Sus scrofa: one gene and its partners. The protein of the gene in region 7 purifies or fractionates together with the protein of the main gene of each other region. This does not show direct contact. Links are inferred from orthologs where the notes say so. Each region holds a gene or a part of one and is shown on either strand. Other genes may lie near its edges.

Region 1 (4,200 bases), on a different chromosome or scaffold from region 7:
CACCACCACTGGCTCCAACCTCCTTTCTACCTTAGAGCCATACAATCTCAACCAGAAAAGACTCAGTCACCTCACTCAGCCTGCTTGCCAGTCACCTCCCCATTCCTAATTTTGTTTACACCACTACCCTTTGCCTAACTAAACCCCTCAAATTTCTTGAGGCTTCCCAGGGCAATCGCCTCATATATACATATCTCTCATTTCTCTCCATGATAGTTTGCCTCTCGACTCATGAATCAGCAAGCAAAGGTATGTGCGTGCAGTCTGAGGACTGTGAAGTCCAGATCCTGAGGTTATTGTTGAAGGGAGACGTAATGATTTTTTTTTTTTTGTAGATGCAACCCACCCTCCTTCTCAATCTTAAGTATACTCAATAAATATCTGAGCCTTGAGTATCATTTTTCTAATCACTTTCATATTAATCAGGACAAATGCCAGTTGCAGAAGTAAAGGTCTTTTCCAAAGCTCTATAAAGACAGCAAGTTCTTCCCGAGCATTCATTAACTGCTAAGCATTGCTAGGGTTTCAGAGGGCTGTGACAGAGATCCAGGTTTCATTTGCTCCTCTGAGAGGTACTGAGACAACCCAGACATGCACGATATCAGGGAGACAAAGTAGAGGCAGGGAAACAATTATAGTTTGTCCCCTTTTATAACTTAAGCCTGAAACTGCTCAAGGATGCAAATAGCCTGGATGAGTTCTGAGAAAAGAAGTCATCAGGAGATAGGCAGGAAAGGCACTAAAGAGGTGGGCACAGAACTGGGAACTGAGAAGGAAGAGAATTTGGAGTGTAGGGTAAGTAGATTTGGGTGTGGGAAGGGGAGTTATATAGGGCAGACATGTTAGGTGACTGTGGGTTTGAGGCAAGCAAAGGGCAGGTCCAGCTCTGGGCTGGAGATATCCAGCTGTAAATAGATGGATTATATTGGTGCTTGGTCAAAGTGAGAGGAGGAGACTATACAGCAGTATCTGCAATTCTGGTTAGTGTCTCTAAGGTCCCCAGCTAGCCTTTCCTTAAGTGAGGGATTTACTGGGTTTCATTGTCTCCTCTCAAAAGTGCCTAGGCTTTGCCAGGGCCCTGCAGTGCACAGAGTTCTCCACCCTGAGAAGTTGCTCAAAGGTCCAACAAGAGCCTTCCAAGCCCTGGGTAGCTCCCTCCTTCCTGTTCCTCAGAAAGGCCTAGAGTCCATTGCCAGAGGCACACTTTGGTGCAGACTGAGCGGTGGGTGGGGCTGAATGAGGAGAGCTGCCCTGGGGGAAGGGGTTGTGCTGGTATCCCCAGGGGTGGGGCCTGGAGTCCAAAAGCACAGCACCCTCCACCTAGCCCAGACCAATGCGACTGGCAGGCAAAACTACAGTGGATAGTGAATGTATGAGGACAAGGCTCATCTTGACCCCGCGGCCCACACCAAAAACAAGCCTGTCCAAACCGAGGCCAGCTTTGCAGGGTCAGTCCAGCTGCCGCCTGTGCAGTGGCGCGCTTGGCGGGCACAGCCCCTCATCAGCGGAGAGCCTAGGCAAAGTCCGGCAGTGAAACAATATCTGAGGTGTCAGCAGCAGACAATGACAGCGGCCCAGCAGGCTAAGTATTTTAAGTAACTAAGAAGTTGGAGGTTTTGGCTGCCTCTTTAGCTCTCTCACACACACCCAAACGGTTCGTTCCCTCTACTACAGTAATTGCTCCCTCGACCTCTGGCAGAGAACACCCCCGCGCACACACATGCACATACACAACACCGTGCTTATCGCTATTTTTAAACCGGAAGCTGGAGAGAGAAGGCGGGGGCGGGGGGGGGAGACAAAGAGGCCTTGAAGCTCTAACCCAAGGACTAGCTTGGGCTACTGCCCTAACCCAGGATCCAGCGAGAGCCGGGCTGCCAGCGGGGCGGGCACCAGATGCACCCAGTGGCTGGTTGGGCCCTCAAGGCCGAGGTCCTGAAGGGAAGTGAGAAGCCCACAGGCCCAACTGAGCTCCCCCAAGGAGGAGGCACACAATGTAGATACCCCAATCCACGACAAAGCAAGTATCCTATCCGTCGGGCCCAGACCAGCACGTTGGCTCCGTCCCCAGAGAAGTAAGAGAGGCAGGAGATGCGCAGGGGAGGGGAGGGGTGGCAGACGGCCGCTGGGGTGAGCAACACCCGTGTAACACAGCTGTTCTAGCTAAGGTGCTACAACAAAGCTGCTGAGCTCCAGGCCTACAAATGCCCGCTGGGGGTGCTGGTTGGCTGTTCCTCTCCAGGGAGCTAAGGGTAGCACGTGCGGGCCCCATCCCCGCCTCCCCCAGGAGCCCAGATGCATAGCCCAAGCTAGCTCACCGGCCTGCCCACCTCTTCTCCGCCTCTAGCCGCAGTCGCTCGCGCCGAGTACCTGGCACTGGCCCACACCGGGCAGTCCTCAAAGCGGGTTTCAAGGGGCAGCGCAGAGCGGTGCGAATGCCGACCCGCCCAGCCCTGAGAGCTCCTCTCCAGGCTGCCAGAACGGAGCACGCGGGACTGCCACCGGAGGGCGGGCAGGCGGAGACTACTGTCTGCGAGCAAAGCTTACCCAGCCCGGTCTGGTTTCTAGCCCGGTTATTGTCTGCTGCGCCGCCCTGGAGAAGGCTGGAGCCTCAGCTGCCACGGCTGAGAGCTCCGCCGCCGCCACCGCCGCCTCCGCCTCCACCTCCCCCTCCCCTACCGCCGCCGCTGTTCCAGTCACCTCCTGCACTGCCTCCCCTTCCCCAGGTTCCAGGGAGTTCCCCCCCACCCCTCCCCGGGACTCAGCCACAGGGTAGGGTATGGGGCGCCCTGATTGGCAGGTTTGTGGTCCAATCCCTAAGGTGAAAAGGCGTTCCCCGACTCGCCTACTGTTTTCCTCCGTGAGTTTCTCTTTAAATGCAAATAAGCGCGGGCGTGGTGTAGGCAGGGGGCGGAGAGGCTGCAGAACCCCTGGCTGGGACTCCCCACTCCCCCACCCCCCAACGACGGGCGGGTAGCTAGCTGCTTGGCCACACCTCAAGCTCGCGGGGCCGGTCCCGCCCGGATGGGGTTCGCGGGAGCCCTGGAGCTCGGTTTCGATTTTGCTTGCGTCCCATTTCCGTGGCGGCCCTGCAATTTGGCTGCCCTGGCAGCAACCACGCAGTTTATTCCAGAGAGGCGGGCAAGGAGGGGCGAGGGTGGAGAGGTTGGAGAGGCCTTCTGCCCCTTGCCGAGCCCAACCTTGAGCGTAGAGACTGGGCCCTGCTGCAAGCGCTACTTGGCCGCGCTGGGGAATTCACCTGCCAGGAAAGTCAATTGTGGTGCCCGCCTCCCAGCTTTCACCACCTCTTTGGCTCATGGGCACCTTAAGAAACCATCCAGTTCAACTTCCAGTTACTGAAGGGCCTGCTGCTGCCCAGAGAAGAAAAAGTACTTGCCCAAGGTCACTCGCCTTGCCCGCAACAGGGACAGATTGAAGTTCTGCCCAGGCTCCCAGTCCAAGGCTGCTTTCATTTTTCTTCTCTGTAGATACCTATTTCCGTGATTGACCCTCACCCAAATCTCCCACCTTTTACAGAACTTGAAGGGATCCCCAAAGTCTCTAGTGGCCCCCTCAACCTTCCCTAGTGGTGAGCTATGCTCTGTGCTGTTTCCTGTCCTTGAAAAAATCTGGATAGAGAGAAATATTTTGTCTAGGCCCAGACCAGAGATCAAGTCTGAGGGTGGAGTGAGAAGGCCTGTACCAGCCGTGCCACTGATGTGTCTGGGATGTGGCAGGGGGCCAGCTTGAACTTGAGTCTCTAGCTTAAGGGCATTAAATGGCATTAATGGCTGCCGGGCCAGGTGAGCTGAGGCAACAAAGAATCCAGTTCTACCACTAGCTCAAGAATATCCAGAAGGCCCAGCCCTAAAATTCTGTAGATGTCTAAAGGGGGGGGGGGGGCTAGAGAACAATGCCTGCCGTTTTTGCATTGCAGGAGGAATGTTCTCTGTTGCTTGATTGGGTCCCGTCTGCACTGAAAAAAATCCAGCTGCTAAAACTGGTAAGAGGAGGACTACTGCCCCTTGCATGTGTGGCACACAGGAAGAGACATGGCTGCTAGGGCTGGGATCTGGCTCCAGCTCTGCCTCAGACCTCCTGTATGACTTTGGCCAGTCTGTTTTACTCTGGGCCAGTGCATCAACCCATCTCCACAAGGAGACAAAATATTACAATTTGGAGAAGACAGTTTCCAAATCT
Region 2 (4,235 bases), on a different chromosome or scaffold from region 7:
AGTCACACACAAGTGTCAAACTCCTGAACACAAAGAGCACTTCCTGCATTGGGATTGCTTTCCCTTGTTGCAAACACATGCCATCTGAATCTCCGAAAAGAGACCCACATCTTTTCAAACACCAATAAGAAGTAGTTACAGGTTTGGCTAACCTCTTTCTCCCATCCTAGAACTCTTATAAGGGCCATTTTACTTATGTATGCTTACCCTTCTTTCCGCATATAATTTTTATGGGTTATGACAAACATTTTATAATATAAAGGAAGTTTTTAAATGATAATAAAATCGATGTGCCCCCCCCCACTGATCCCCTCAAATTCATGTTAGTCCTAACCCCCAATACCTTAGAACCTGATTTAGAGATAGGGCCCTTAAAGAGGTAATTAAGGTAAAGATGAGGTCATATGCATAGGCGCTAATCCAACATGATGGGTGTCCTTAGAACAGGAGATGAGGCCACAGCCAGGTACAGAGGGAAGATTATGTGAAGACAGAGGAAGGAGAAAGCCATCTGCAAGCCAAGGAGAGAGGCCTCAAAAGAAACAACCCTGCTGACCCCTTGATCTAGTCTCCAGATCTGTGAGAAAATAAATTTCCCAGTTATTTAAGTCACCCAGTCTGTGAAACTGACAAGGCAGTCCTAAGAAACTAATAAGATGCTAATAAAGTTAATTGGCTGCAAATTAGGCAGTTCACTAGTTATGATGAGCAGAAAGCACCAGTCATTCAGCCCTGCAATACTTTTCTCTTGCACACTTAATGAAATATTTAAAAGGTCTAGGAATGAGCCTGTCGAAAACCAAAACGGTTTACTCTTTTGCCCAAGATTACACAACATAAGACCAAAGTAAAAACTAAACTCAGATTCCCGATTCTCTTCTCAATTAAACCAGGGCCTTGGAGAAAGAATGAACATTCAGGAAGAAATATAACCATGTCCATTTATCACTGGATCTATGGCACTAGAGCAAATATCTGCTAACGTATACAAGGCTTTGTGAAACAGGGGTACTTCCAGAGAGGCATCAGAGTGAGGCAGCTAACAGCATGGACTTTAGACCAGACTGCTCGGATTAAAATCCCAGATCTGTCACTTAGTAACTGAGAAACTCCTGTCCAATCACTAGCCTCTCTGGGCTCAGTTGCATCACCTGTAAAATACAGAGATACAGGTGATAGGATTGTTGTGAGGGTCAAATGAGCCAATAACAGGTTGAACCATATGAAACCACTATTTTTACACATCAAAATGGCCAAATATCAGCAAATTCATACGGTTCAACAGGAGACATGGAGAGCACTAAGAACAGTGTCTAGCACCCAGTAAGTGCTGTGAGTTCAATGTCAGACTCAGCACGCTATATGATGAATTATGAATCCATCCCAACCAGCTATTTGCCTTCTGCACTGTTTGTACACTTCAAACAAACCCATGGGCGCAGCCCCGGCTGTCAATCCCTTCCTTTCACCTCTCCTTTGCCCCATACTCCCACACACTGAACACTTCCTACTTTAGAGCTCATTCTACTGCAGGAAGTCAGAGGTCTCTGCGAAACAGAGGCAAACTGCACGGCACCTCAATCTCTACTCTCGATTCTTCTCCAGATGTGGCAGAGTGCTTTAAGACTCTGGCATCCACTGAATAAATCATTGACACAAATGCAACCCCTCAGGAGGTGAGACTTTCTAGGATAGGCTACCCCCTCCCCCCCCATTTTGTTGTAAAACAACTCCAGGCAGCAGCAGCCTTTGGAACCGACGCAAAACAAGAGAGATCTGAAAAAGGCAAGTCTGGCCGGGTCCAGTGACCCAGATCAAGAGCAAAGAAGGAAACATACAGGACTGTGTCTCAACTCTTCTGGGCCTCAGTTTGCCCATCTTGAAAATAGTCTCACAACGTTGTAAACCAACTATACTTGAGGGAAAAAAAGAAAAAGAAAATTGTCTCTTACTTCCCTATCTACCTCCCAGTGTCAGATGTAAAGAAAATTAGGAAGACCTTGGACATCAGGAAGGAAAGGTGTCATTATCTTAGAGTGGAGACACTACCAAAAACATCTTCCTAATGCTGTCCTCCATGAAGCCACCCTTGCTTGGCACCCATTCTCAACCTTTCTTGGCACATCTTCAGTCTCAGGCGCACAGCTTTTCTCCTCAGCAGATCCTCCCCACTGCACCCGTTGGGCGGGACTCGGTCCCTTAGAAAGTCTACCCAACCCTTCTCTCTCCTTGTTCCTGATCCATCCCTTAGACAGATCCCCCCTCGTTGGTTCTCACCCAGCTTCAGCATCCTCTCTACCTCAATGAGTCCCTTCTGGTATAGTAGCCCTCACCCAGCGGCAACCCCCGCCTTCAGCAGGTGCTTTCCCTAACTTGTCCCCACGTTCCTCAGCAGTTGCTCCCCCCGGCTGTCGCTCCCCTCCTGCCAGGCTGTCCCTCCAAAAACAAGTGATCTCTAACCAGCCCCATGTTTATCCCCCCTCGTCCAGACCCCCGCCGGCCAGGGGTCGCCCATTCAGCAGGTGCCCCATCAGCCCGGTCGCCTGGCCCCGCAGGTCCATCTGCTCCACGGGCTCACACACCCATCACCCCTCCGGCCGGTTCCCGCCTTTCCCTCCCCGCCCCCCTTCCTCTTGACCAGCGAGCGGCCTCTCACCGGCGCGGCGGGTTCCTCAGCTGCACCGTCTCCATGGCGCTGCCGGCAGCCGCCCAGACCCGCTCAGTGCTCCATCCTCCCCCGGGACTTCTCCGAGCCCGCCCCGCAGACCCTCCCACACTTCCGCTTTCCGCCCCTACCGGAAGCGGCGAGCTGCTCAGGGGAGGGGCGGGGCCGCGAGGGCCGGGCCTGGATCACGTGGTGCGGACTCGAGTCACGTGGCACGCTGGGGCGGAACGAGGAGGCTCGGAGACAGCCTTGGGGCACGTCGTCAGGCAGACTGGAGTCTCGGCGGCGTTGTTTCTTGCGGTGGTGTTAGCCCGAGACACTTGGTCCCCCAGACCTGGAACCCATCGCTGCCTCGGGCCGCGCCTCTCATATCTCAGACGGAGATACTGAGGTTTCTTGCGAAGCAACATACTTGATAACAACTGTCGATTCTTAACCAGCCAAGTTCTGCGCGATTCCTGGGAAGCACTGCTCCAGGGACTCCCAGAGGTATTTATGGTACTCTACAGGTCTGAACTAATTGAATTCCTGTTCCAGGTGGAAGCTCGAACGTGCGAAACCGCTTCGTGGATGTAACAGAGCATCAGCCTGAAAATTGCTCCACCCTCTTGACAGCCTCACCTGTGTACATAAAAAATAGCTATTATTTTTTAAACTCTTACCATGTACTGGCTTTCAAGTGTTGTTTCATTTAATCCTCATATCAAGCCTGTAACGTTAACCCCAATCTTCTCTGCTAATTTTTTGACACTCTTACCATTACCACGTTTTCATGCCCTACTAATGCTAATTCATTTAATACTCTTAAGGCTGTAAGGTGCATACTTTTGTTGTTCTCGTGAGGCCAGAGAGGTGAAGCTCAAATAGCTAAAAGTATAGGTTTGGGGAGTTATATCCAGATAGACCTGATTCCAGAGCCTGCACCATCAAACTAGACAGTCACTGTGGACCCTTGGTTGGGCATGAGATTCAGAGCTTCCTGTCCCCTCAGAGCTCCAGTTCCAGTTATAGAAATTCATAAATCCTCGGTTGCCACCACCATCAGTGAATATTAAGAAAAAGGAAGATTCCGCCCAATTCACTCATAACGTTACCGGAGAAAATTTACCCAAAGCAACCTCTCACCATTTTTAATTGTCCTGTTTTTCTCAAAGCATCTTCAGAACAACACCTGAGCAACCTCTCAGGGCGACCCAGGTATGGACTCCATATGCTAAAAATGGAGTAACAGCAGTTCCCATTGTGGCTCAGCTGCTAAGAACCTGACTAGTATCCATGCAGATGCAGGTTCTATCCCTGGCCTCACACAGTGGATTAAGGATCCAGCATTGGTGCAAGCTTGGCTTGGATCTGGCGCTGCTGTGGCTGTGGCATAGGCCAGCAGCTGCAGCTCCGATTCAGCACCTAGCCCAGGAACTTCCATATGCTGCAGGTGCAGCCCTAAAAAGGAGGGGAAAAAAAAAGCTAAACATAAATTTAAAAAAATAATAAGGAGTTCCCGTCATGGCTCAGTGGTTAACGAATCCGACTAGGAACCATGAGGTTGTTGGTTCGATCCCTGGCCTTGCTC
Region 3 (4,062 bases), on a different chromosome or scaffold from region 7:
TTTGATGAAAAATTTGACAGGATCTAGTGACAAACTAAATAGGATAATGAAAGAATGGAGCTACATGAAAAAATCAAAAATACTAACTGAGCACACAGACTTGATCATCAGTAACATACATGTGACCATGTAAAAATGTCTGCACCTTAAGTAAGTGCTACTCAAGGCAGAAAATAAAAGTGGCATTCTTACAGGGATTAAGAAGAAAACAAGCAAAAGGGACCAGAAGATTATAGAAAGAGATGACCACCACATCATGGAATGCTAAGAAAGCAAGAGAGAGTTCTGAAAAAGAGGCATCACTGTCTATAATGAGAGGGTGCACAACCCTTGGAGCCCATCAGGCCCAGGGTTCTGGCACCTTCTCCACCTGATCAAGTTATTTAATCTCTCCAGGCTTCATTTAATAAAGAAAATATAAAGAAATAACTAACATATTATGAATCACTGTGCTAAGTGCTTTACATATGACCTCATTTTTCTCCTCAAATCACACTTTACAGATGAAGAAATTTAAGTCTGACCTAGCATAGTCAGCTACAGAGCCAAGATTCCTATTTCTTGGGACAATAAAGTATAAAAATGTAAACACAGGCATTCCCTGATGGCCTAGCAGTTAAGGATTCAGCACTGTCACTGCTGGGGTTTAGGTTCAATCCCTAGCCCAGGAACTTCCATATGCCTGGAGGGCACAGCCAAAAAAAAAAAAAAAAAAAAGAATGCATATATAAAATTCCTGGCAAATAGTAAGACCTCAAAAAAAGGCAGCTATATTTCATTATTAGAGGGTAATGATTAAGGGGGAAACACAAAACCTCACTGTCGGTTATCCCTGCCATAGCCTTCTACGTGACGAACTCTCTTAGTTTCTTGCCTATAAAACAGGATTAATGTCTGTAATCCTAACGACTCTATAGGGCTGCTATAAAGATTAAATGATATTACAAAAAAGAAAATGTTATGAAAAAATATGAAGAGATATTCAAATACATGGGATTGCCACATATCTTTAGCTCTTTAAAAATGCTTTCCTGGATCAACATGTCTCTCTGAAAAGAGCTAAAAATAAGTTGCTCAAATGTGTAACCACCACTTTGAAAAGTATAAGTCAGCATGGAATGCTGACATATACTACACACACCTCCCCCCACCCCTCCAGGCTCTCCCGTGTCCCTGCAGGGGCAGGGGTTCTCCAACACCCAGAGTGAAACTCTGATAACTTAGAGCAGAGCTAATCCATACAGAGCTTCTACTTCCATTCAGAGCTGTTCACCTTGGCCTTAAAGTACTATCGCCAAGGTGCCCCTTACAGCCATTCAGAAACAAAATGGGGGAAAAACTGTATCCAGTTTTCTTCTATAGTATTAAAACTGGGTACCCAATCAATATTAGAATTGGGATATTGTAGAATGCCAGAAAAGAATCTATCAAGGGCTCTGCATGACAGCAGGTCTCTTTTGGAAACTTCTCCACAACCCCCCTTTCGCACCTGAACAGATGGTTTCCAAGCCTCAAGGCTCACATGTCCAGTGACACAATTCACAACAGCTCACAGAGTTTCTATCTTTTTAATTATTTCATGTTCTTGAATATACCACCTTTCACTTAAACTCTCTAGGTATCAAAACACTCTAGTCCTCACCAAAAGCATCATCTGGGAGAGAGATTAATACTCTTATTTTATAAATGAAAAATGAAAGACTTAAATGTTTTATCCAATATCAGTGGACTGATTCATTGTTGGGTGTGGGGACGCACACTGAGAATAAATATCTATGGAAAGCCTTGATTTAGCTTCCCAAGAGCACTTCAAATATCAGTTCAAAAGTATCTACTGTGTACTCTTACACATCCAGTATATCAAAGAATAAATATAAACAGTAAATATCAAAGCATCACTGTTTTTACATGCTAAAAAAAAACAAACAAAAAAAACCAAACCTGTATGGGGGGTGGGGTTCTAATTTAAGATTTCTGTCTTGCATCCATAAATACTTTTGAACGTGTGGAGGAAGGGGGAGGAACACCTGTCAGTGCAGCACATCTACAATAAGTTTTACAGACACTGTAGCTAACACACTGTAGCTATTAATATTTAATTCCTTGAAGTGTAAGTAAACAGCCCGCTTTCTCAAAAAAAGGGGGGTGCATATTATGGAAAACATTTGACAAGAAAGCCTATAGTAAGAAGTCCAATAATTTCCTAGTTTTACGTCCCCCAGCTTCGTGAACTTGCCACGAGGGAAAACTCTGCCCGCCCCAGGAGTCCAGCCGCTGGGCGCCCGGCGCTGCCCACCGACTTTCCACGCGCTCCAGGCCCGGCGGGCCGCAGGGGAAACGAGACTCGGCCTCCCTCAGGGTCCCCTCGCCGCACGGACCGACGCGGCCCTACACTCGGACCGGCCTCGAGACCCCCGGAACTCCAGGCTCCCGGCCCGGCAGTCAGGGAAGGGGTCGCGATCCAGCCCGGCCTAGCGGCCCCCGCCCAGCGGCCGCCGGCACCGCCTCCCTCCTTCTCCTTGCTCCCCGCGTTCGTTACCTCTTGGGCGCCGGCGGCTGCTCCATGGCGGCCGGGGGCAGAAGGAGGGACCAGGTGGGCGGCGAAGGCCGGAGTCGGGCAAGGAGCCGAGGAACCGGCCAGCCGAGCCCAGGGAACCACAGAGGGAAACTCCAGGAACTCGGACCAACTTTCCCGTAACTCCGCGGCGGATCCCCCTCCCGCTTGCGAAAGCGGCTCCTCCCGGCCCGCCCCGCCCCTCCGCCGGGGGCCGCAGTCCTGGGAGGGTGGGCGGAGCCGGCCGCGGCCCAGGCGTGGTAGGCGGAGCCAGGCGCCGGGGAGGGCTGCCAGTGGGCGGGGCCGGGGGCGGAGGCAAGGGGCCAGCCACTGGGCGGGGAGGAGAGAAAAGGAGCTGGGATTGGAATGGGGAGAGGGTGAGGCCTAGTCGGGTCCCAGAGCCTCTGCTTGCTGGCCTGGGGCATTCCTTTGAAGTGGGCCAAAGCTGCCGCTCCTCACTTGCCTTCATTGCTTTTGCCCCAATCAGATTTGACTCATTTCACTGGATTTCTCAAGAATACCTCCCAAACATCTTCAGCAGCCTTTTGAAGTACTAGCTGCCGACACTTCCCTCTCTAGTTCTCTTTATAATTATTGGTTATGTTTTCCCCCAGCCATCCCCCACTACGAGGGGTGCTTCTGGAAGTTCTTGTTTGATTTTAATTGTGGACAAACTCCTCGCAATAATTATGTCTAATTACAAAGAAAATAATTACTGCAGTGAGATCTCTCATGCACTGGATTCAGTGCACTGCTGGCAAACCTGTCACAGATTATGGTACATAGAAAAGTACTCAAGAAGAGTTTCTTTCCTTCCCTTTTGCCACCCTCACCCTCACCTGTCCCCAAGACATTTGTAATTTGACTCCTTCATGCATCCATATTGTGTGTGTACCATTTAACCTTAAATTTCATCTATAGAGGGTTTTTTGTTTTTTTGTTTTTCTTTTCTTTTTTTTTTTTTTAGGGCCTCACCCACAGCATATGGCCAGGCTAGGGGTTGAATCAGAGGTGTAGCTGCTGGCCTACACCACAGCCACAGCAACACAGGATCCAAGGCACATCTGTGACCTTCTCCACAGCTCACAGCAACACCAGATCCTTAACCCACTGAGCAAGGTCAGGGATCAAACCTGTGTCCTCATGGATACAAGCCTGCTTCGTTAACTGCTGAGCCATAACAGGAACTCCTATAGGTATCTTTCTTATGACCTTACATGGTGCTATGTAATGACCTAGCTTGTTTTTGTCAGAAATTGTCACGATGAAGATTAAAACAAAAGGTATGAAGAGAATGTTGTGAACATTAATCCAAATTATACTTATGTATGGAGACAGTCCTCCTTTTACGTTATTTTAAGTTTTTTCTATGTAATAAAATTACATGATTTATTTTCAAACCATTTTATTCTCCCCCTAAACTTAAAGTTTGTTAAGGCCATTTCCTGTTTGTTTAGGTCATTTTTTAAATTATAGTTGATTTACAATGTTGTGCCAATTTCTGCTGT
Region 4 (4,275 bases), on a different chromosome or scaffold from region 7:
GCCACAGCCAAGCCAGATAGGACGTGAGTCTGTGACCTGCACTACAGCTCACAGCAACGCCAGATCCTCTACCCACTGAGCAAGGCCAGGGGTGGAACCCATGTCATCATGGATCCTAGTTGGGTTCATTACTGCTAAGCCACAATGGAAACTCCAAAATAACAGATTTTATAGTTGTTTAAGAGCAATATGCTTAAGTTTATACCTGGCTTAATGTGTTGATAAAACAATTTTTATCAACATTGCACATTCATGACAATTTCTCCCTTCATTCAAATGTGAAAAACACTGTTCTGCAAAAAGTATGAAATATTTGCTGTTTGGGGTGGTCTTTTTTTCACAAATATCTTCATACCTACTATGTGGCAGAAATTGTGCCAAGTGCTCCTGATATGAAAAAGACCACTATTTCTTTGCCCCCCTGGTCAGTCAATGTGAGAGAAAGACTATACAGCAATAAGTAATAACAATAAGTAATATGAACTGTGATGTCCTATAAGGGAAATAAACAAGTTACTGTGATAGAAAATAGGAAACAACCTAAATGTCCATCAACAGATGAATGGATTAAGAAAATGTGGTATATATACACAACAGAATACTGCTCAGCCATAAACAAGAACAACATAATGCCATTTGCAGCAACATGGATGGAACTGGAGACTCTCACACTAAGTGAAGTCAGAAAGAGAAAGGCAAATGCCATATGATATCACTTAGATATGGAATCTAATATATGGCACAAATGAATATTTCTACAGAAAAGAAACTCATGGACTTGGAGAACAGACTTGTGGCTGCCAAGGGGGTGGGGGAGGGAGTGGGATGGACTGGGAGTCTGGAGTTAATAGATGCCAACTATTGCATTTGGAATGCATAAGCAATGAGATCCTGCTGTACAGAACAGGGAACTGTATCCATGATGGAGCATGATGGAGGATAATGTGAGAAAAAGAATGTATATATATATATATATGTGTGTGACTGGGTCACTTTGCTGTATAGTAGAAATTGACAGAACACTATAAACCAACTCTAATGGAAAAAATAAAAACCGTTAAAAAAAAACAAAATAATGGCATAAGGAATATTCTTAAAGAGGTGGTCTGAGAAAATTTTTCTGAGAAGGTGAAATTCTCTCTTTAAATCTGAGAATTTAGGAAAATATCCAATTGAGACATTTTAAATAAGAAAAAAAGGCTGTTATTGTTCCCATAGTGTGTTCTCTCTTTCTACTTCAATCAAGCACACATACATGCTTCCTGAATATTCTTCTCCTATATGCCTTGTCCTAGTTTTGTAGTAAAAAATAAATAACAACAAAAGGAATCTGATTAATTTATGTTTTATAGACCAAGAGAGTAATATTCCTGCTTCTTTACAGCCTATACTACCAATTCTTATAGACACAGGCATGACTTTGTATACAGATAGATTCAAATCCTGCCTTATCAAGACTAGCCACCATAGGAAGTTACCTTACAGTCCAGCAGGTTAAGGATCCGACCTTACGGCAACTGTAAAGCAGGTGGCAACTGTGGCATGGGCTTCATCTCTAGCCCAGGAACTTCCACACGCAGCAGATGAGGTGTGTGCAGCAAAACAAACAAAAAACCCAAAAACTACAAGCCACCATAAAGTTCTCTGAGCTTCAAGTTGCTCATTTGTAAACTGGGGCTAACAATACCTAACTTGCTATGTTGTTGAGATGATTAGATAATACTACTGGAAGCATAAGTAGAAAAGAAGAGTGGTTCAGATACTGGAGCCAGACAGATCTGGGTTCAAGACCAAGTTTGCTAATTATTAACTGCCTAATACCTGACACCAGAGTTAATCTGTGAAACGGAGATAGGTGGTTGTGAAGTTAAATGAGATAATACATGTAGTACATGGCCCCTCCTTCTCATACATTCCTGGTTACATGAAGGCCTCCCTCCAAATTCTTCTGGAGAAGAAATTTCCTGGTCAAGGAGTAGAGGGAAACACCCTCATTCACTTTTTCATTCAAAATAATTGACTGAAGTCGTATTCTGTGTTAGATACTACGTATTTGGACAAATTTTCAAAACAGCTTAAAACAGAGTGCAAGTGTGAAGATGGGAGAAAGCATCTCCCTCATTTTTACATCCAGTTCCCCAGCAACTCTCATTCAGATAGTTCATCCTTAGGCTCAGCCCTGGATTCCCTCCTCTTCCCCAAGGCAGGGCCTTTCAGGAGTCTGCCCTCCTTTTCCCAGCGTAGCCCAAACCTCTCAAGGTGTTTACACCGTGGTAGGCCCCTCCGGCACAGCCCTCCAGCTACCTGCTCAAGGACACGCCCCCCCGCCCCCGCCTCAGCTCTGCAAGCCACGCCCCCTAAGGCTCCTCCCCCACGCAGTGGCTCAGGTCCACCCATTCCCTGCTCGCTAGTTCCCGCGCTCTGAGCCGGATTGTACCTGGAGGCCACCCCGCTTGTTCCACGTGAAAATGGACCCTGGGTATCCGCTCAGCGCCAAGAGCAGTTCGTGGATCATTTCCACGGCGGACCTCCGGTCCCTATATCCGTTGCACCTTTCTCCAGAGCCTCACCAGGCGACCAAGGAAACGCGTATTCCTTTCTCTACTCGCGCACAGGCCTCCTGGACGGGCGGTTCCTCCAGACTTTATCCGCTGAGAGAACTGCTGCGGAGAGCGTACGGGAAGCAGGGAAGGGATAGGCGAGCCGCGTCCCGGAAGTGCACTGTGCTCGGTTGGGCCCACTCGCTCGCTCCCGCCGGGGCTCCGCGAGAGGTGTCTAAGCAGCTGCCCTTGCGCATGCGTCTGTGGCGCCCTAGTCGCCTGCTCTCACTTCCGGTTTGGGAACTGGACTGGGAGGCTTGAGAGTCCCGGCTGGAGCCAGACCTCGAGTGGGTGAGGCTGGCCCACGGGCAGAGATGCGAGCGGATTGAGGGGTATCCCGAGTGGGAGAAGCTCCTAGGGGTGGGCCAGAGGGTGCTCTCAGGGCGCCTTAGCCCCGGTCCGAAGCCTCTGGAGGGACTCCTTACCGCTCCGAGAGTGACCTGGCCAGAAAGCGAAGACAAAGAGGCCGGAACCCCGCACCCGCCGCTCCTTGAGCTGTGCTCCGCACTCGCGAATACCGCAGCCCTCGGAGCGCTTGGCCAGCACTCGAGCTCGTCTTCAGGAGACACATGACTACTGCCCCCTCGGACTCCCTCTTTCCACCAACTCAGTGTGACTCTCCCCAAGTCCACCTGGCCCTCGCTTCAGAAGTCAAAACCAACTTCTCTCAATGCTCGAGATTTCCCGTCAGTAGTTCCCGGATATTTACTGAGCGATTACTTCTGCTGTGAGGGAAAACAAAGACCCAGTGTTGTGTACTTGATTTTTGTTTGGGGTAGAAATTGGTGGTGGTGGAGTCTGAGGGGGCGGGGCGGACGTAGAGGGTTTGGGGAAGGACGGCGGAAGTATTGGGGCAGATCAGAGGCGACCCGCTGGACAGAGGGTTTTCTATTGCCTTCCTCGGGGTGGTGACATGCCTTTAAAACCTCTCAGCTCTAGGTCTCCCTTACGGTTTGAACTCACTATGCAGCACTGGCCAGGGGAGCTCAATGGGTCAGACTTGGGGAGGGGTGGAAGAGGAGCAGTCAGTAGTTTATTCTCTGCTGCTTCCCCGGGGCTGCCCTGGAAGTCGCCCAGAAATGCAGCTTTTGAATGGTCTCTCACCTTCATGCTCAGTTTTGGCTTGCTGCCCTGAAGTTGGTGCTACCTCACATGGCCACGCAGAACTTAGGGGAAGTCAGGCCAGCTCTGGCAAGACTTTAGACATATGAGTGTATTCCTTCTGATAGTGCCATCTCTCTCTACCCTAGGAGGAAATTCTTCTTACAGAGAGAGACTCATCTGCAGGTGATTCTTCAAGGACATGGAAGATAGGTGTAAACCCTGGAACCTAGACCCTTAAATGGAGGAAAGCCGCTTTCTGCTGTGAATGATGGCCAAACCCACCCTGAGAGGGACTGGCACTAACTCTGAGACCTTCCGACAGCGCTTCAGGAGATTTCATTACCAGGAGGTAGCTGGGCCCCGGGAGGCTTTCAGCCAACTGTGGCAACTTTGCTGTCGGTGGCTAAGACCGGAGGTGCGCACCAAGGAGCAGATTGTAGAGTTGTTGGTGCTAGAGCAGTTCCTGACCATCTTACCTGGGGAGATCCAGAATTGGGTACAAAAGCAATGTCCAGAAAGTGGAGAGGAGGCAGTGGCTCTGGTGGAAGATTTAGAAAGAGAGCCTGGAAGA
Region 5 (3,948 bases), on a different chromosome or scaffold from region 7:
CAGGGTCGCGCCGGCTCAGGGACTGGCGCCTGGCGGGGGCGGAGGGGCGGGCCCGCCGGTCACGCGGCCGGGGGAAGGCCTGGCCGGGTCGCGCAGTTGGGGGCGGTTAGTCCGGGAAGAGGGGCGGGGACGGGCGGGGCGGTAGTTTCTCTTTACCGTCTCTTTACTTTCTGAAGCAGGATGTGGGCCGGCACGGTGACGTCATGGGGTCTCCCAGCCCCGCCCCCCGCCCGGGCCGAAAGGGGGAGGGGACGGGAGAAGGGCGGGCGGGGGAGGGTGTGGGGGGGACCCCAAGGGGGTTTCCTCAGCAACGCGTGGAGGGAAGGCGAAAGTCATTGTGAAACTTGAAACTCATTAACTTTGAAAAACAACTTTATAAAAAACCGAGAGGGGGGCGGGGTGTCGGGTTGACGGGTGGAAGGGGACATATCATTAACCCTGAACTGAAACCACTTTTTGGTGGCGGATGTTCTATTAAAAGATTGAGGAAAGCCAAGGTTATTCCAGAGGCCGCTCCAATGCCTGCTGGTGGTTCCCAGAGCCGGAGCTGCGAGCGCGGTTAACCCCTGCCTGTCCGCCTGACAGCTTGGGGCAGGGAGGAGAGGGGTCTCTGGGGTCAGGAAAGGGGTTGCAGGGCTAGGCAGCCGACCTGGCCCCGGGGAGGCTAGGGAGGAGAGAAAGGGGGAAGAGGGAGTAGTTACCATAACCCAGAGTTTGACCCCGGCTGCTAGAAAGCAATAGAGGAAGCAAGGAGTTGGAAACCGATGGAAAAGAAATTGGGAGGGGCTGGACCAGGGTACTGTTGCAAGTTTTCGGGGTTAGACCAAAAGAACAGAAATGTGGGGCTCAGAAATCCCACATGGACCCCTAAGGAAGCAGGCACAGATACTTGGTTTAAGGAGCCGCGCTAAACTCGAGAGGAATAAGGTGAAACAAAAATTTGATGCAGAAAAAATTCTCAGATAAACCCAAACTGCTTTACCCTTTTAAGGAATAAAAATGCTAAACGACCGTACACCCACTCTGCCGACCATCTGTGCAAACTTGAATTGTTTTGTTCCTCGGGGCTTCCATAAAGACATCTAGGTTTTTCCTGCTAGGGTTGACCCCTAAAATTCCCCTGAGGAAATCCTACCTCTAGCTCATTTGAGCTAAGAAAAGCTTAACTGCACCAGTATGCCAATGATTAAAAATGGAATACTCAATAAAAGCGAGCTTGTAACCAAAAATAATGTCATGTAAAGGGGGGAATATGCCCATCAAAAACTGGATTTGGCCATAAGAGCAAAGAGCAGCCAACAACTGCCTAAATTTGCAATAATGTTTGGCAAACTATGCTTCCAACATTGCCATGAAATAATGCACTCTTTAAATTTTCGATGTCATAAAATCACCTCTTTTATGAAATTAAATGGCAACTATAAAAAGTACGTACACTTCGCAGTTTGTGTTAAAAGAAACACAAACATCTCTTTAAGTGCGAAAGTATACCTAATTTCTCAGAGGATAAAGACGAATATTGATTCTACTTTGTGTCACCTGCTAAGTCAAAATTACCATATTTTTAACCCAATAGTTGTTGACCATAACAAATATTTAGCGTGAACACAAGGTTTAAATGGAATTTGGCATTGCTGGGAACTTTCTAACAAATTAAACATGCAATCTGGAGTTGTAATAGATTAATGTCGTCATTTTAATTTGCTATAGGACTCTTTTCTTATATTCTATTCACAATTTCACTTTCTGGAGCATTAAATTAATATTAATTTTTTGAAGCATATACAATACCGAACAGTTTCCCACTCCGAATTTTCTAAATGCAATTTCTTTTCCTAATTCCTCCTACAGCCCTGACTCCCTAGTTATCAGAATGCAGGGGAATCCAACTCAACTATAAAGTAGCTAGTTTCGGCTTAATTATTTGGTGGCAAATTAAATACAATTTCTCAAACTGTATCCTATAAACGGAATGTGGAGAAACACCTTTTTTTTTTTTTTTTTGAATCAAAAGATAAATGGGAATGGTAATTCTGGCACAATGGGGGAGGTGACCATACTCCGGAAAAAAAAAAAAAAAAAAGGAGGGGGCTCCTCTCGGGCCCCACTTCCCTCCAGCTGCGCCCCTCCTGGAGGTGCGAGCGCTCTCGGAGCCCCCCTTGCGGAGTGGGGTTCAGCTGAGGGCAGTCCCACATTTGTCTGGCAGAACAGTGTGGGGAGAACACAAGTCCTCCGCCGGGGTTCGTCGGGGGACCCCGCTGGCCCGCCGCGTCCGCCGGGCGCCGCGCCACCGCCGCTGCCCTCTCGCCCCCCTGCCCCGGTTCCCACGCGGCCGCCCGGCCGGCCCGGCTCGGGCTCCCCCCTGGCGCGGCCCCGCGGCCCCGGCCCTCCGCCCTGCGCCCGGCCCGGCTGCGCCAGCGCCACGCGGAGATCCCGGAGGTTCCTCCCCGCTGGCCTCCGGGTCACGCCGCCGCCCGTCCCTCCCCTCCGCCCTCCGCCCTCCGCGCGCGCTGGGCTTCCCCGTCCACCGGCCGAATCCCCTCCTCCTCGGGCGACCCGGCGACAAAACCTGCCCCGCACGCTCTGCCAGCTCTGCCCCACGCCCAGGCTCTTCCCCGGCCAGACGCCAGACAAAAGAGCCGACCGAGAGAAAACTTACCCGAACTGCCACGCAAAAGTCTGATCCAAAGCTTCCTGCGTTTAACTTTTAATTTTAAAAACAACAAAAGCAGAAACCAAAAGCCTCCTAGGTTGGAAGTGGGCGTGAGAGGAAATGCTAGGGGGAGGCGCTTCATTCCCTCGGCTGCTTTTGCCCCCCCCCCTTTTCTGGCCCCTGCCTGGGGCTTTGATGTTATCTAGTGCACCGCCTACGTTGGGTTTATACCGTGGGCTCTGCGCCGAGAACGATACACAGCTATTTGGCAGTTTATTTGCTAGTTTGAAGAGAGAGAAGCAGGTGGTCACGGGGAAGGATTCCCACTTCTTACTCCCGCGGTGAGAAGAGCGTTTGCCCTGCTTCCCTTTGTTATCTGGGCTGAAATGAACAATCCACCTATCCAGAAATCCTGGAGAGCTGGACCCTGTGGCATTTTCTGTTAGACACACAAAAAAAGAAGCCTTCTCAATTAGATTCATTTTCCCTCCACTCAGCACAAACTTAGAACAGGGTGGTATTGTATGTTTTCTGAGGCTTTGTTTGGTTTTTAGATTTCGGTTTTGAAAGTAAATATTATTTCTCTTCTAAGATAGACCTGCAGCCTTGAAAAGACAAGATACCACTGAAGAAAATAAACTCACATAATCACATGCCTTTCATGTACCATTGGTACAGGTCAGGCTCTCCCGCACCCTCCCCCTCCCATTATGGAAAGCTTGTAACTGTTGATTTTATCTTCCTTAACTGGACACTAGCAGAAACCGGATATATTTTTACATTAGATTAGCAGTCTCAGGACCATCACAAACAAAGCACTAACAAAAGGATTTCTTTTCTTTACTGTCAGATTCGTAATCAAGAAACACTGCAGAGGCTGCCATTCGGTCCTAACTGTTCATCCATTTTATGCCAACACCAACCTGTGTTCAGGCCTTGCCCTCTGGGAGTTTACAAATTAATGGAGACAGAATAAACACGTGGAAAAATACCTAGAGGGAAAAAGATACAAGAGGAGGCTTATAAACAGAGCCAATTAAAGTTATACACAGTTATTTACGTGATTGCTGAGAGCTTTCTGGATTGGGTGGAGGGCAGGATTATCACAGAAAGTTCCATCCATCCCCACGGTGAGTTCTCAGCAGGATTTTGAGGGAGAAAAAGTTCAGGATTTGGCAATTGTATGAGAACAGCATTCCAGGCAAGGGAAGTGGCTTGAAGGTGAGAGCAAGTGAACCGTGCGTGTGATGGTTTTTCTGGCTAGGACAGAAAGTCAAAGTAAATGTGAAAAAGGA
Region 6 (4,239 bases), about 46 Mb from region 7:
CTGTTTCTGCTCCAACGGGACAATTTAACAAAAGTATGCTCTGTTAGAAGACACCAAAGAGAGACCTGATCTATGTTAAGAGTCTGTCTCCAATCAATACAGCACCTACAGCCTCCTTGGCCCTGGTGGCTTCCCTTTCAAAGTAATGTTTAGAGGAGGAACTCGGATTAGAAATTAATACTGACTAGAAAGAAATAAACCAAAAATTAATTTCTGATTAGAAATTAACACTGTAATACAAATACATCACAAAATTAATAACATAAAAGATTAAATACATAAAAATTTCCCTCAATACTGAAGTCACTAGAGGAAAAAGCCCGTGGGTTCCATAACAACCTCTTCAACCTTAGGCAAGTGACTTAACATCTTTGAGTTAAAGATTCTTCATCTAGGAAGGGAAGGGAATGGAAATGATTGCTGAAGGCCAACTTCAAGACCATATTAATCATGGAAATAAAAATCCAACCACTAGGTTTCCTTACTGAGAAAAAGTACTTCAAAGTGCAACAGGACGATTGGAGGGCAGGAGATTGCAGCTGTCCCACGTTATCCTGCAGTTCCTCCCACTTGCACTAGGGGGCAGAGTTCTTCCAAAGGGGAGGTCATTGGTTCCCTGAGGCCCACAGACAGGCTTCCTGGGGACTAGGACCCCAATAAATCCAATACAAATTCTATGTCTCATCAAATTTCCTAAGGAACTCACAAAACAAAAGCAAAATAAAGGGCCCCCTCCACTGCCAAAAAAGTTAAGAGTTAGTGTCCTGCAGGCAAGAGCCTCAGGTTTTCTTACAGATGAAAGCAATTAAACACAGCCCACTGGTCTTTCATCAGTGGTTAACCTGCAACTCCTGCAAAAAGTTCTGGTGCCTTCTTACAAGCAGGAAAACAAAGGTCTATGGATTAGAAAATGCTAGAGTCTCATAATTGTAAATTTCACTTTTTTTAAAAAAGTAAAAAAATTGTATTAATGAATGATTCATTCCTTTCCAGTCTCCACCTCTCACCATGAATGTGGGTATAACACTGAGACACCACTTTTTTTTTAAAAAAAAAAAAGGGATATTACTATCATGCAAGAACATTTCACTTAGGCCATTGTAAACAGTTGTTAGATTATTTATAATCAGTGGGCATCCAGAAAGTACAATCACTTGAAATAATGTATCTAATTAAACTGATAAAGTTAGCCAAAAGAGATGCAAACCTTCACCAATCTAATATTCTGGAAGATTCCAAAACTGTCCTTGATTTACAAAACATCCCCTGGCTTTCAGTGAAAGTCACATCAGGCTCCTTAAGTCAACTAAGTTTACTTTGAGCCACTTCAAACCTCAAACTTAAATAGAATTTATTAAATAAACACAACCAAGAAAGGAAAGGGAGCCAAGAAACTACAGTAACTCTCGGTCCTGGGGGGGAAAAAAAGGAGGTTCTCAAGACAGAGATTTCAAGTAACTGTGGTGTCCCGCCCTCCATGACCCTAAAAGGAACATCAGTTTAATCTTTAAAAATAACCAATGTTCGCTCTAAACGCTTTTCTTTACATTCGAATTTAAAATCTACAAAAACAGTCCGCACAAATTCCTACTCTTTTTGTCTCCCTGTCCGGAATGATCTCAGATCCTAAAAAGAGCACTTCTTGGTGAGCATTAGAACCTAGACTCCAAAGGTCCGACAGGCAGAAAACACAGTGAATGATTAAACCCTCGCCTCCCCCTTCTCACACTTCATTAAGCCGTCTCCACTGGAAGTGTTTGCACCCCTCTCACAGGAAGCCGGCACGTTTTGCAAAGGAAATACCAAACCAGACCCTTTCTTGGAGAAAGGCACGTCCCCGATGAATATTTTATTGGGCACCCTGGAAGTGGGGCATGCAGACCTCCCGGCCAGGCCCCTCGTCCGCCGCCTCACCTAGCGCCGGGCGCCGTTGGGACACCCGGGGAGCCGGCCACTCCTGCAAAAGGACGCTCACCTTCGCTCACCGGAGCCAAGTTGAGAGCACGGGACAAAATAAAACCTGCCTCGGCTTACTCAGCCGGAGACTCCCCGGGGGTTGATTTCTGACGACTCCCAAAAAGTTTCGCCCTCTCGGGTTTAGCGCGCGCGGTAGCAAGTGTGCGCGCTGCGCCGCGGGCACATCCCTCCCTCCCCGGAGGCCAGGTCTGGGCAGGAAGGGAGCCCGCGCCCGGCTCCCGGAACGCAGCCCGAGCTGGGCCAGGACGCCGGCGTCCGCCCTCCCGGCCGCTAGCGCACTCACCTCGGGAAAGAAGTTGTCCATTGTTCCCGTGCGCTCCCCAACTTGCCCGAGTCCGGCTTCCAGCTCGAGGAAGTCAGCCCAACAGAAGGTCCGGGGAAACCATGCGTGTCACGGCGCGATTCCCAGCAACTTGACCCCGCGGAGCTCCCCCACTGCCATCGCTTTTTCCCCTTATTGTCTTTCGCACCTTTTGTTTGCCCAAACCCAAGTCTCTAACTCATTCGTCCCAACTGCAGCCTTTGTCTCTTTCTCCAAGTTCCTCACTCCTGGGCGCTGCGCTAGCAAGCGGAGAACAGCTGGTGGCACATTCTTCCCCCGCGGCTGGGGGAGGGTGGCGGGGAGCTGGGGAGCGCGCCCCCTCCCTCTGCCCTCCGGCGGGAGGCGCTCGGGGCGGGCAGGGGAACAGCGGCCACAAAGCGAGCCCGGAGTTGCTCTCCCCGCGCGAGCACTGCAGCGGTGAATATTCGGGCGCCAGGGCTCAACCGGCTCACAGCCGCACGGAGACTTGCGGACAGGAGCGCACGGCCAGCCCCGCCCGCTCGTCCGGCCCCGCCCACTCGCTCCCCTCGCCCCGCCCCACCGAGCGCTGAGCCCCGCCCACCCTGCCCGGTCTGCCACGCCACGCCACGCCCCTGCAGGAGCCCACTCCTCCCCGCGCTTCCGCAGGGTTCTGCCCCACCCGGCGGCGCACCCCGCCCCCATCTTCTCCGGGTCCCCTCCCACCCTGCTCCTCCGGCTGCCTCAGGCTCCGAGGCGGGCGGGGAAGGCGGGGCCTGATAGGCTCCCCTTACATCCCCGCCCTTCCGCCTCCCAGCCTCCCCACCTAGTTGAGGGCGGGGGAGTTGACTCTTCCTTCTGGTGATAGAGACCAAATAGTCACCGAGGAGGAGGGGTTGGGGGACTTTTTTGTGTGCCTTTGATCTTTGGCAGACCCTGGAACCGGCTAAGCACGGATCTCATTAATGCGTCGGCAGATGAGCGACCCAGGCAATGGAAGCGTGGTCCGCGAAGCTGCCCTGGCTGTTGGGCCAAATCAAAGCGGAGAACCGAGGCTAATCAGAATTTCTGGAAGCTGCCTTCCCGTGTGGAGTTTCTCTCCTGCTGTTAGGTTAAAAGACTTTTTCATTGGAGCCAGAAAATGTAGTTTTGTAAATTGGAAGAGGACGTGGCCAATTGCACCCTAAAAATGTAACCCTTTCCTGGACCTAAAGGAAGCAGATAGCCAAACGGAAGGGAGATGAATGAAGGCTCAACCCTTCCCCCCGCCCCGGTACTGAGTGTTAGTTTCCTCTAGGGCAGGTCCTCAAACTTTAGAGTGCACAGGAATCACCTGCGAATCTTGTTGAGCTGCAGGTCGGAATTCTGTGGGGTGAGAATCCATAAGCTGCATTTTCAGCAGGCTTTCAGGTGCTTTCGGACACCCAACCTTGTACTGTTTTGCAAACTGTTTGGAACCTGTCTGTAATGAGGGGAGAAATTGAGAGCAAAGGTTTAGACACTTTTGTAGCAATTTCAAAATGCCGCTGATATACAAGCACGTGATCGGTGAACGCTTTGAACCGAGTGCAAACCATTTTGGGTATTGTCAGACTCGTAGTAAGTCATACCTGGCACTCCAGGGTTGTCCTATGGGTACTTGACAGATTGGGGAGGGGAAAAACAAACAAACAAACAAAAAAACAAAAACACGGCTGGTTCTTCACCACAAATGGTTTGAGAAGCTCTCTCTAGGGGATTTGCCAACTGCTACTCATCCTTTAAAACTCAAGTCGAAAAGTCACATCTTCAAGGGGAAGCTTGCCCAGAGATGCCCAGCCATTCATCATAATTCCAGCTCCACCTAACCACTGGGTGTGGCTTATTCCTAAGGCTACTGGAGAAACTATGGCGTATTGAGGTAAACCTACATCATGTCCAGGGGTTTTTATTGGTGTCCTACTCATCTTCAGTTGGCAGAGTCAAAGCTCAAGAGAGGAAAC
Region 7 (3,500 bases):
ACTTCACATTTGGGAAACTGAGTGTAACTTTATAGGTGATACAGCATTGCCTAGCAAAGGCTGAACTTTTTTGCCAAGGAGGAAAGAGTGAAGTAACTAAGACCTGCCAAGAACACATGTGAGAGAGTTAATGAGAAATGCCTGTGCATGTCTTTCCTGGTTCAAGCAAGAGGGCTAAACAATAAAACTAAACTAATTAGAACACAAGAACAGTATCAAACATCTCCAATGTTTCTCATCAAGTTCACAGAGTTTACTGGTCTAGGGAAGTTACACTCGAATCTGAAATGGTCCAGGAGCGTAATCTGCTCTAGAAAAGTCACTTAAGTATTGTTTAGAATCATATCTGCGTCATTTTAATGAAAAATTATGGGAAATCTACCGAGGAAACTGAGACTGTGCCTTCTCTAGATCTCTACTGATGGCTCAAAAATGTAAAATGATGCTTCGCTGAAAAACTAGGGCTTGGATTTTGGAAATTTTATCAAATAAGAATAAAAAGTCAATTTCTGATTAAGGTTTTAATTAACTGGCGGCCTTGCAGAAGCGTTTCATGTTTTTAAAAAGTCAGATCATTTTCTACAAAAAAAGCCTTTTCTACTTTAAAAAATAGCTACAGATTACACATTGTGACATATTTGCTCCAAGACTTCAACTTAAAAAAATTTTTTTTCACTAATGCTATGATTTCAGATCAACAGAACACTCTAAGGCAACATTAAAAAGTTGAGAACAAAACACAAAGAGCCCATAAAACAGATAAATCATAAAGTTACCTCTATATCCTGGATAATCTTTGGGTATAATGACCTATAAAATGAATTGGGAGGGCCATCTGTGGGTCTGTTTTTAAACAGGTACTGATCCCTGGCAAATAAAAACAAACAGATGTTACATTTTTGCACATAAAAGGCTGAATTTATTGAAATGTGGTGCTTACAAAGATGTATCTTTCGAGTCTTTTGACTTGCACTGAGCTTTAACAGTTCAAAAGCAGGATGTGTGACAATTAAATGTTCATGTTAGACAGACGTTTACTTCCGCTTACACTTAACATGATCCTAATCTTTCATTTTCTTAATACTCAACACAATAACCTCGCCTTTCCCTCTATAGTTTAACAAAAAGCATTAATGCAGCTTTGAGAAAAATCGAAGTTAGTACACACCAAACTTCTTCCCATAAGGAAAGACAACACAGCCCTAACCATCACTCACCCCACTAGCTACCTGCAACGCTCTCTTTGTCCGCGCTGGCTGCGCGCGGTCCCTGACAGGTATGGAGCTACGGAGCTAGGAGCTACGAAACGAAGCTGTACATCAGATAAGGTTGCCTCGGAAAAATCCCACCCGCTCTACCTCCCGTCTTCAACCAAGGGCAATACATCTAACAGCAAAACTGCATTATTTGATTTTCTCGTGTTTTCTCGTTCTCATCTATCTTTTGGTAATGGTAGCGGCACCTCAGGAAAAGGTGAAAGGAGAAGCATATTCACATAGCTTTGAAAAGCCCAATCACTCATTCAAATTATCCAATACTTTCTAACGGATATAGAGGAAATAGAACCTATCTATCCTAACTGATATAGAGGAAATACGCATTTCAGAAGGGGTTATTTTAACAACTTTAACTTTCTGCCCCTGACTCCTGACCACTCATCTCTTCCCATTTGCTTTAAGATAGGCCAACACATTTGGTAAGTATAACTGCTTTTTTTTTAGTAATCAGAGAACCTTTTTTCGCGAGAATATATAATCCAAATACTTACCACCCTCTTCTTTCTGAAAGTCCCTTCCATAGAGGGTCAGTGCGCACCATTCGTTCGATCAGCTTCTTCCACAGCATGCCTTCGGAGATCACTCGCTGCCATTCTTTACACACCAGCTCTGCTGCACACAGAGACCTGGCATCCAGGTAGGAAAGAATGTTTTCTGCTATGTGATCTAAGCCTTGCTCTACAAAACAGAAAGGGCAGTGAAGGAATGGGAAGGGAGATGCAAATGTAGTACCAGTGACCGTTTCCTTAAAGGTAAGAGGCATAAAGAAATCCTGAACTGGGAGATGTGCTTGAGTAAGATCAAAAGTTCTGCAGATACACAAGTGCATGAGTACATACACACACACACACACTTCTTTTGGGTTCTGGTTTTTTAAGACGAAACAACTGACGGCAACAGTTCCTATGTGGAAGTCAATCCTGGACCATTCTATGTTTGTCAGATATTATAACAAAAGATTTCTTTTCTTTCTTTCTTTCTTTTTTTTTAATTACATAACTCTATGGGGTAATGACAGCCCAAATGTAACAGATGAGGCAGAGAGGCAAAAGGTGTCAAGGTCTTGTAACTATAAGTGAAGCCGAGACTAGAATTCTAATCTTTTGCTGCACAAGTTTGTGTTCTTTCCCTTCTGATTTACTAGATCATCCTATTAATCCTGACCTAGTGAATTGCTTCGAGTTAAAGAGACAAAAAGGTAAAACGCGGACGCATCTGAAAAAGCTTATGAAAAATTAAACGACAATCCAAGAATTAAGTTAGGTGTACTCTGATTTTTGCCAATCATTTCTCCATCTTCTCACAGAGGTAAAATCCTCAAAACATGAACCGCGTGCCTAAAAATTCGAACCTTAAGAGGTTTACCCTACACAATGCACGTATCCTCTCAAAGACAACCACTATCCAGCCTTTGCCTGACATGTGCCCGTCACAAAGGTGACGAGGTAAAGAAGATCCCTGTGGTCAACAGAGCGGCTGCCCGCAAACGCCCATCCTGTGGGTTCTAGGCATCTCCTCTGCAGCTACAAGAAACAGAGGTCATCCCCAGGCCTTCTCTGTGGAGGAGTGGGAACACCAAACACATAGCTAGAAAATTCCAGTTTCAGGTCTAGGTTCACCATGCAGCAGTTCTATAGCACGAAACAAATATTTAAACAATTACTGAAACGTCCCTGCCTCTTGTTTTTTTTACCACATAAAATGGTAGGCACTATCTGCAAAAATCCATAAGGTTCTATGAAAAGATTTTAAAGACAACAAAGTACCATTCAAGGTTAACATGTGTTCTCTTTTAAGATAAACGGAAGCAGGAGAGTACTAACTTGACAGGTCTCGGTAAATCGTTAAACTCGCAGAGCCTGAGATTCCTCATCTGCATAAAATGGGGACAACATTCTCTGCCGTTATTGTGAAAATATCAAACTGAGATGATGCATAAAACATGCTTCCCAAACCAAGATTTCTTTCATCCCTAAGATGACTATTTACACTGTTGCTTATGGTTTACAGGCGCCTCACACACTAACTCTCCGACTCTGCTCTGGGTCTAACACCCAGGTTGTGATGTGATAATGAAGATTACAACTACCCTGAGGCCACTATCTCTTCTTGCACGTGTCACTACATCGCAGTTAATGCAGTCAAAGATTACACTGCCTTCATCTAAGAGGCGTTACCGCAGCAGACTCCCAAGATGGCCGTGGCTGAATTAAAACCTTAGAC

What was found.
Region 1: the proteins of FBXW11 (region 7) and AMER1 purify together in Homo sapiens (affinity purification with mass spectrometry; 7 studies listed by BioGRID and IntAct, counting the BioPlex papers as one, with this or other methods). This does not show direct contact. The link is inferred for Sus scrofa from reciprocal best matches to the Homo sapiens genes FBXW11 and AMER1.
Region 2: the proteins of FBXW11 (region 7) and STK4 purify together in Homo sapiens (affinity purification with mass spectrometry; 5 studies listed by BioGRID and IntAct, with this or other methods). This does not show direct contact. The link is inferred for Sus scrofa from reciprocal best matches to the Homo sapiens genes FBXW11 and STK4.
Region 3: the proteins of FBXW11 (region 7) and STK3 purify together in Homo sapiens (affinity purification with mass spectrometry; 4 studies listed by BioGRID and IntAct, with this or other methods). This does not show direct contact. The link is inferred for Sus scrofa from reciprocal best matches to the Homo sapiens genes FBXW11 and STK3.
Region 4: the proteins of FBXW11 (region 7) and TUBGCP4 purify together in Homo sapiens (affinity purification with mass spectrometry; 3 studies listed by BioGRID and IntAct, counting the BioPlex papers as one, with this or other methods). This does not show direct contact. The link is inferred for Sus scrofa from reciprocal best matches to the Homo sapiens genes FBXW11 and TUBGCP4.
Region 5: the proteins of FBXW11 (region 7) and HIVEP1 purify together in Homo sapiens (affinity purification with mass spectrometry; 3 studies listed by BioGRID and IntAct, counting the BioPlex papers as one, with this or other methods). This does not show direct contact. The link is inferred for Sus scrofa from reciprocal best matches to the Homo sapiens genes FBXW11 and HIVEP1.
Region 6: the proteins of FBXW11 (region 7) and MYO10 purify together in Homo sapiens (affinity purification with mass spectrometry; 3 studies listed by BioGRID and IntAct, with this or other methods). This does not show direct contact. The link is inferred for Sus scrofa from reciprocal best matches to the Homo sapiens genes FBXW11 and MYO10.

Annotation. Positions count from the first base shown.
Region 1 is NC_010461.5:50,861,306-50,865,505, forward strand, and holds the start of AMER1 (APC membrane recruitment protein 1), read right to left. Parts: upstream 2,801-4,200; 5' UTR 2,701-2,800; exon of another isoform or gene 2,319-2,700; intron 1-2,318. UniProt on the Homo sapiens protein: Regulator of the canonical Wnt signaling pathway.
Region 2 is NC_010459.5:47,386,159-47,390,393, reverse strand, and holds the start of STK4 (serine/threonine-protein kinase 4), read right to left. Parts: upstream 2,801-4,235; 5' UTR 2,692-2,800; coding exon 2,657-2,691; intron 1-2,656. UniProt on the Homo sapiens protein: Stress-activated, pro-apoptotic kinase which, following caspase-cleavage, enters the nucleus and induces chromatin condensation followed by internucleosomal DNA fragmentation.
Region 3 is NC_010446.5:38,010,540-38,014,601, reverse strand, and holds the start of STK3 (serine/threonine-protein kinase 3), read right to left. Parts: upstream 2,801-4,062; 5' UTR 2,566-2,800; coding exon 2,540-2,565; intron 1-2,539. UniProt on the Homo sapiens protein: Stress-activated, pro-apoptotic kinase which, following caspase-cleavage, enters the nucleus and induces chromatin condensation followed by internucleosomal DNA fragmentation.
Region 4 is NC_010443.5:128,081,240-128,085,514, forward strand, and holds the start of TUBGCP4 (gamma-tubulin complex component 4), read right to left. Parts: upstream 2,801-4,275; 5' UTR 2,516-2,800; coding exon 2,438-2,515; intron 1-2,437. UniProt on the Homo sapiens protein: Component of the gamma-tubulin ring complex (gTuRC) which mediates microtubule nucleation.
Region 5 is NC_010449.5:8,514,708-8,518,655, reverse strand, and holds the start of HIVEP1 (zinc finger protein 40), read right to left. Parts: upstream 2,801-3,948; 5' UTR 2,660-2,800; intron 1-2,659.
Region 6 is NC_010458.4:6,142,686-6,146,924, forward strand, and holds the start of MYO10 (unconventional myosin-X), read right to left. Parts: upstream 2,801-4,239; 5' UTR 2,282-2,800; coding exon 2,261-2,281; intron 1-2,260. UniProt on the Homo sapiens protein: Myosins are actin-based motor molecules with ATPase activity. Unconventional myosins serve in intracellular movements. MYO10 binds to actin filaments and actin bundles and functions as a plus end-directed motor.
Region 7 is NC_010458.4:52,302,901-52,306,400, reverse strand, and holds part of FBXW11 (F-box/WD repeat-containing protein 11), read right to left. Parts: intron 1,956-3,500; coding exon 1,769-1,955; intron 868-1,768; coding exon 777-867; intron 1-776.